Macaca fascicularis: one gene and its partner. The protein of the gene in region 1 purifies or fractionates together with the protein of each later gene. This does not show direct contact. Links are inferred from orthologs where the notes say so. Each region holds a gene or a part of one and is shown on either strand. Other genes may lie near its edges.

Evidence for each region.
Region 2: the proteins of PGM1 (region 1) and GRHPR fractionate together in Homo sapiens (co-fractionation; 3 studies listed by BioGRID). This does not show direct contact. The link is inferred for Macaca fascicularis from reciprocal best matches to the Homo sapiens genes PGM1 and GRHPR.

Annotation. Positions count from the first base shown.
Region 1 is NC_088375.1:171,094,395-171,098,209, reverse strand, and holds part of PGM1 (phosphoglucomutase-1), read left to right. Parts: intron 1-820; coding exon 821-983; intron 984-1,337; coding exon 1,338-1,484; intron 1,485-3,032; coding exon 3,033-3,158; intron 3,159-3,549; exon of another isoform or gene 3,550-3,671; intron 3,672-3,815. UniProt on the Homo sapiens protein: Catalyzes the reversible isomerization of alpha-D-glucose 1-phosphate to alpha-D-glucose 6-phosphate. The mechanism proceeds via the intermediate compound alpha-D-glucose 1,6-bisphosphate.
Region 2 is NC_088389.1:61,901,739-61,905,553, forward strand, and holds part of GRHPR (glyoxylate reductase/hydroxypyruvate reductase), read right to left. Parts: exon of another isoform or gene 3,586-3,815; intron 3,285-3,585; coding exon 3,180-3,284; intron 2,509-3,179; coding exon 2,373-2,508; intron 1,295-2,372; exon of another isoform or gene 1,028-1,294; coding exon 897-1,027; intron 1-896. UniProt on the Homo sapiens protein: Enzyme with hydroxy-pyruvate reductase, glyoxylate reductase and D-glycerate dehydrogenase enzymatic activities. Reduces hydroxypyruvate to D-glycerate, glyoxylate to glycolate, oxidizes D-glycerate to hydroxypyruvate.

The DNA of each region.
Region 1 (3,815 bases):
ATGTTGAAACAGATATAAATTACTGTCATTTTAGCAAAAAAGATTTAGGAGCGGTACTTCACCATCAGTAAGAGCTATGGAAAGGTAAGTTAAGAACGCAACAGAAGTCCCACCTGTCGCCCTTTCATGTAGGTCGTTCTGACTGGTTTACTCAGGAATAACTCCAGCATTCTTGTCTTAGGCCCAGGAGGTAACCCAGGTACACTGTAACAGGAGTATGTGTGTCTTGCTTTGAGGAAACCCACTATATGAAAAAGCCAAGCTTGACTGGAAAGATAAATTGATGAGTCATTTTTCAATAATCTTGCCATAAAATTTGCCTTTTTTACTTCAAAAAGATTTTTACTTTAAAAAAGCCTTGTCTTTGGGCAGAATCCCTTTAACTAGCTAAACCTTTTCTTTTCTCCCGTTGTGGATTGAAAGTATGATTGAATTGGATAAAAATTGGGGTTTTCTCATATTCTTTCAGTGTATCCACATTGCGAACCTGATCTGGAAAGGCTCTTTTTAATATGCTGTGTTTTCATGCCAGAGCCTTCTAGTGCACACAGACCACACACTCTTCTAAAACTACAAAGTCCCAAAAACCATCTGAAGGAATTTGTTCAACATTGCTGATTCTGCTTCAGTAATATGGTGGAGACATCCAAGCTGTAGATTTTTATTAAATAAAATCTTTTCTTGTCTAACAGATTATTATTATTATTATTATTATTATTATTATGATTTTGTCCATCTGCCTGTTATCTTGGTGTTGTTTCTGAGCAGTGACTCTGGATGTATTGATGTTAAAGAGTGTGTTCTGGATTTCTTCTCCTAGATTGGTCGCTTGGTTATTGGACAGAATGGAATCCTCTCCACCCCTGCTGTATCCTGCATCATTAGAAAAATCAAAGCCATTGGTGGGATCATTCTGACAGCCAGCCACAACCCAGGGGGCCCCAATGGAGATTTTGGAATCAAATTCAATATTTCTAATGGAGGTGAGTTTGCTGTCATTTTGAGGACAGGTAAGTTTATCTTCAGTAGGATAAACCAATAGCTGGAGCCTGGGGAGACCAGGGTTTTGGTTCTGATCCTTTGTAGGGGGCAGGGGGGTGCTCTTTGCTTCATTTCAGTGACAGTGAAATGCTTCTCATTTGACTGTACCTGAATATGAAGAGCCATGTACAACTCATCCCTAACATGATATTTTCTTTTAGAAAAATCCTGCCACCTTGCTGGCTGAATGATGAAATGGTAGATGTGCTAGTGAAGAGGAACTGATGAGCTTTGGATTCTTTGTATTTCCATGTGAGCTGCATGAAGTGACCCACTGTTTGCGGTTTGATTTCCAGGTCCTGCTCCAGAAGCAATAACTGATAAAATTTTCCAAATCAGCAAGACAATTGAAGAATATGCAATTTGCCCTGACCTGAAAGTAGACCTTGGTGTTCTCGGAAAGCAGCAGTTTGACTTGGAAAATAAGTTCAAACCCTTCACAGGCATGTTTACTTTCCTCCTCTTTCTGCCCACTCCTATTTCCACGTTGAGCGATTTTTCTTTCAACGTTTTAGTACAGGGTCTTCAGCTTTGGAAAGACTTCCTTGAGTGGTCTGTGAGCTTTGCAAGTGTTAGTTAATTAACGAGTCTGGAATTAGGTTTGGGAGTCCAGAGACCTGGGCTCCCTGGGCCCTGCCAGGGATCAGCTGCATGACATCGGGTAAGTCATTTCCAACACTCTAGGCATTAGTTTTCATGCCTTGACTAGAAGACCTGTAAGATTACATTCATAGTTAACTTTTCATTGACTTCTTGCTACATACCAGGGTCTTTACACACATTAATCCATTTTATTCTCACAGTAGATCTGTCAGGGCAGCACTGTCAGCATTCATTATTACAGATGAGGAAACAAAGGCTGAGAGAGGTTAAGTAACAGGCTCAAGGTCATGGTCAATGAATGGCAAAACCAGGACTTCAACTCAGGTTTGAATGATTCGCAACCCTACATTTTCCATTTTAGTTGTCCTCATTCAGTAAAATAAATCAGACCATTTTGGGGGGACCAAATTGCAACTCTCTACATAGGCAGCTGTGGCTAACATTTTGTTGTTGAATGCCAGGTATTATAATAATTGACAGAATAAACGTTTATAAAAGTATTCAGATTAATAAAATGAGGATGAGACGATTGGCAATGGACTTGCATTTTGACTTTGCCCTAACGTGTATTCTTTCTTCTGAATTGCAACTTTATGGAATGCATTTTATTAGTCAGTTAGTTCCTGGCCAAAGGATGGATTGCATTTTTTGTTTCAACCTACTCATGGAAAGCTGACAATTGCATACTAACAAAGATAAAGTGCCACTTTGATGCATCTCGAAGACATTCTTGAGGTTCAGAAGATACCACTAGAGAGTTTCTTAAAATCTTCATATTTTGAAAATGTTCAGAACCCCTGAATATCCAACAGTTTTGAAAATGTTCAGAAGCCCTGAATATTCAACAAGAACAACAATACTAAGTTCTTATATTTGCTTTATTCCTTAAGCAGTACATGTGAAAAGTGATTCATTAAAAAATTTCTTTTTCCACTTAGTACCATTAAGTCTTGATGACAATGGACTTGGAAAAAGAAAAGGAACTAAAAGTAGGCATTATATTTTCTGCTCTCTGTAACACCAAAACACACCTCTCAAAATGATGAATGGGGAAGCACTGTGGTGGCCTAGCAGAATTTATACAACCTCTGTTGAAAATCCCCTGTGTGCCTCATCCAAGCTGTGTGGGCAAGTTTCTTAACGCTTCACACATTGAGTTTCCTCACCTATCAAATAGGACTAATAACATTTACCTCTCAGGAAAATTGTTAGTGTTGGATAACTATTGGTAGTATTGGATAGTATTTAACAGTCATATTATTTGAGCTGTTCAATAATTGTCCCTTTAAAATAGCAATAGCAGGTTTACAGCCATATAATCACATCAGAATATAATCTTTCTAAATGTGGTTAGTCCTTCCATCTTTTAATGTTGCTTGTTCTCACAGTGGAAATTGTGGATTCGGTGGAAGCATATGCTACAATGCTGAGAAACATCTTTGATTTCAGTGCACTGAAAGAACTACTTTCTGGGCCAAACCGACTGAAGATCCGTATTGATGCTATGCATGGAGGTAAACAGTCATTTCTTTTCAATTCCCATCTCTCAAGGATAGGAAGTCGCTCTCTTCTGTGTGTATCATGATGCTTTCACAAGCCTTTTCTCAAGTCTCTCTGATGGTTTTTAAATAGAGTTATTTTGCAACCAGAGCAATATCCACACAGATCAAAATCTAATTGTATGTAGCAAAAATAGTAGAGACACTCCTCGTGGTAAGCTCGTGTGAAGGTCAGCGTTTCCACATTAAGCATCAGGTTCTGAGTAACATGCAACTGCTGTTGTGGACTCTCCCTCCCCCTCAGAAGATACCTTACATTCTTGCTGCACGCCCCCATGTATTTCTGAGAGGACGGTCATTTGGGAGATGTGGTAAACATACTCCTGAGCCCCACATCCCCACTCACCTGCCCCCACATGCTCCTTTTCTTAGAAGAGGGCAAGAGCAAGCTGAGGATTAAATTCAGGAACATCAGGATGTGTACAGCTCTGTCTTCTTCCTCTGGGGGTTGTGTGGTCAAGTCCATAGAGAGGGCAGCTATCACTGTGAACCAGAACCACGAGGTTTTCTCAGACATGTAGGTATATGAGAATCCCTGAAACTTATACACATACATCTGCCTGCTTGGAGAAGCCTTTCTGCCTGAGATTGAACCCTTTTAGTGATGCAATT
Region 2 (3,815 bases), on another chromosome or scaffold:
GTGAGGTTAAGAAGTGCTGCTGCCACTCCCCCAAAGACAGGAAGGGAGGGCAGGAGGAAGCAGGCCCTCCCACACCCACACCGAGAGGGCCTCCAGTGCAGCTGGCACAGCAGAAATGGGGTGTGCAGAGGCCTGGCCCCAGCCCCACAAAGCAGAAGAGAGAAGGGGGCTTTGTTGTGAAACAACAGCTTGAAAAACTGGCCGAGTTATAAATATTGGCATTGTCATTACACTTTTAATTTTTCACACCTAAACTGGTAATAGCAATTTAGAGTAACAGGTTTTACACGAGTCACTGTGGTATAACACATGTAGACATGTAGTCAGCCCACTTTGTTGTTGTTTTTGAAATGGAGTCTCACTCTGTTGCCCAGGCTGGAGTGCAGTGGCACAATCTCGGCTCACTGCAACCTCCACCTCCCAGGTTCAAGCGATTCTTCTGCTTCAGCCTCCCAAACAGCTGGGACTACAGGCACACACTACCATACCCGGCTAATTTTTGTATTTTTAGTAGAGATGGGGTTTCACTATATTGGCCAGGCTGGTCTCGAACTCCTGACCTCATGATCCGCCCACTTCAGCCTCCCAAAGTGCTGGGATTACAGGTGTGAGCCACCACACCCGGCCCACTCTTTTTTTTTTTTTTCCCTAAAACAAATCCTCTCACACCTACACTCTGTTCCTTTAGGGACAGAGACCCAGCAGAACATGCTCAAGAGGACTGCTCCTGTCATACACCCATGTCACTAACAGTGTAAACATTTAAAGTCCCTGGTGTGTCCCTTTGGGTTCAGCACTTGCTCACACTAGCTCCACACCCGGCCCCTCAGGACCCCCTCGAAAACACTGGTCCTGCAGGGCAGCAGGAAGTTTGCGTCAGAAAATGCAGTTCTTACCACAGTTCTTCAGGGTCAGGAGAGGGTGGTTTGTAGGCAGTGGTTCTGGGGTCGTCACATCCAGTCCAGCAGCTGCGATCTGACCACTGGCCAAGGCCTGGTACAGGTCGTCCTGGTTTACAACGTCGCCCCTGGGAATGACAGTGGTGACGTGGGTACCATGAAGATCCCTCCACCCAGGCCACCTTTGAGGCAGAACCACCTACAGAATGAATTTTTCCACTCACCTGACACTTGGCACTGACTTTTAAAGCACTAAGTCTTAGGTATACTTACAGTATGTCTATCAGTCTCATATACTCAGAGAACTCCAGCCTGCCTCCTCCTAGCTGTGTGACCTTGGGCAAGTTTCTCAAATTCTCCGTGCCTCGAATTATCTGTGTCTCAAATTATCTGCTCTGTGACATAAGGAGAATACCACCTAACTCCCAGGCATGTTGGGAGGATTAAAGCTTTCTTACATGCTCTACTGCATGAACAGGGCCCAGAAGGGCATCTGTTAGGCCCCATCCAAGTGTTTCTGATCCGGTTGGCCCCCCAGACCCCCACTGAGAAGCACCACAGTGTGCTATCAGGCACCTGCCTAAACCAGAGCAGAGGAATGAGCACACCCCTAACCACATCCATCAAAGGCAGCGGCCACTGAAGTCAAGAACTGATCTTCTAGAGACTGTATATTGTGCACTAAGTAATACAGGGTCCTGGGCTGTCCTGGGTACACGCAGGCACCCGGTACATGGCAGCTATGACTGGTGCCAGCCAGCAGTGCGAGTCCTGTGGTCCTGCATGTTTCACTCTTCCATTCCCAGGTTACCTGTTTTGTGGCTAAACATTGGTAATTACAGGTACCTTTGGGGTGGATAAGTCCTCAGGGTGACCTCACCCAATCCCCCTTCCCCTAAACTTACGTAAACAGGCTCAAGGGGGACCAGCTAGGAAGGCCTTGGAGTGGCAGAGAAGGAAGGTCTGACCCCCATACATGCTCAATGGCCTGACGGCAGCCCTCAGGACAGTGTGAGGAACTACAACCACGTGAGTTTTAGGGTCTGTCTGCCCAGGGGGGTAAGATTCAAAATATCACTGAACCACAGCCAGCCAAAGCCAGGCTCAGCAGTGTGGGAGGCGGCCTCCAGAGGGCCCTTCAGATCCTGAAGTCCAGCCCTTTGTGGTTGAGGACAATGGGCCTGCCAAGGCTCCCTGGGAACACTCCCTGAAGCCACCTTGCTGTGTGCCAGGCCCTGCCAGGCAGGGGCCACTGCTGAGAAGCAGGCAGGCTAGGCCCACTCCGACGGCTCTTCTTCCCTGTGTGGAGCTCTCGTGTATTCCCACGAATTTCTGAGTGGGTTGGTTGGTTTATGGAAACCAGCAAGCTCAGCCTGGGGTCTTATCAACAACCCACGGGGAAGAAAATCTCCAGATGGCAGCAGTGGGGACGGCTCCTCTCCAGGCTTGCTGGGTAAGGTGGCCCTAGGATACCTGCTGATGTTGACGAACACAGCTGTTTCCTTCATCTTCTGGAAGAAGTCCTTGTTGCAGAGTCCCTTGGTTGCAGGCGTTAAGGAGCAGGCCACAACGATGAAATCAGACTGGGCAGCCAGCTCAGGGGTAGACACTGAGGGAGGGCAGGACTCCATCAGGCACTGAGTCTCAGGCTAGGGACAACCAGATGGTGGGAAACCAGCCCCTTGCTCCCGACTCCCATAACAGAGACTCCCAAGATGCTTCCTGAAGGCCGAGTCTCTACCTGGACAACTCTCATGAGTGTACAAAGTCAAATCACACACAGTGGGACCTGGACCACTCTGGCTTTAATCACCTTCAGGGCCCAAAGTGTCCAGGGGCGTGGGGAATGCTTGAGATCCAGCCTGCCTTCTGCTCACCAGGCTGTGGACCCGCCAGGGGCTGGATCCGCCTGGACTAAAGCGCACAGAGGCTAGGGCAGTGCTTGCCAGTTGATGAAGGAAAAGCGAGTGCAAGTGCCCAGCCCTTCCTCACACCCATCACCATCCCCGCTGCTCCGCCCACAACGGGGATGGCAACACAGGACGCTGAAAGACGGGAGCCCTGGACTGCTCTGCTGGCACGGAGAGGACCTGGGTAAGTCCCTGTGCCCCTTGAGTGGGCCTGTGTCCAGGGGCAGGGAGATTAAACATCTACCAGACACAGCAGCCCCTGGACATGACTGGAGCTCCTGCCCTCTGCCTGAAAATGCCACCATTGAGAGAAAATACTGCCTCTCAACTGGGCACAGATAGGCTCCTGTGGAAATCAAGCTTCACTTACCAAACTCTGCCTGGAATTCCGCTGCTTCCTCAGGCCTGGGCTGGCGCCCTGTGTATAGAAATCTCTGGACACCAAATGGTTTCAGACGCCGAGCAATGGCCTGGCCTAGAGCAAGGAGAGTCCGCGTCTCGTTCCCAGTCCCGCAGAGGGCAGGGGCGCCACCCAGCAGCTCCGGGACAGCGGCCCTCAGGGCAGACCCTTTCATCAGCACAGCCCCAGAGCTGCCTGCTCCTGTCTCCCCCAAAGTGGGTGGGGGGCTGGCTGCCCCGCCGTAACCAGCCCCCGGCCAGCCCGCACTGCCCCAGGGATCTGGAGACAGCACCTCAGCTCCCCTGAGGCTGTCACTGGCTGATGCTGTCCTCACATGGTCCAAGCCATCTGGAAAGCCACTCAGGTTTTTCCTAACCTCTGAGAACTGGAGAGAGTTTTCACAAAGGAGACGCCTGGTCAAGCAGTCCCCTCCTTCATCCTGGACCCTCTGCTTCTGTGAATGCCGTCTCAGACTCCATTTGACTTTTGGTGGCACTGCCAAACTGCCAGCTCACCCCAGACCGACACTTTTCATGTACGCTGCTGCTGAGGCAGATTTGTGCAGTTGGATTTTCAGGCTCAGAACGTGCCCCAAAGCTGTTGGGT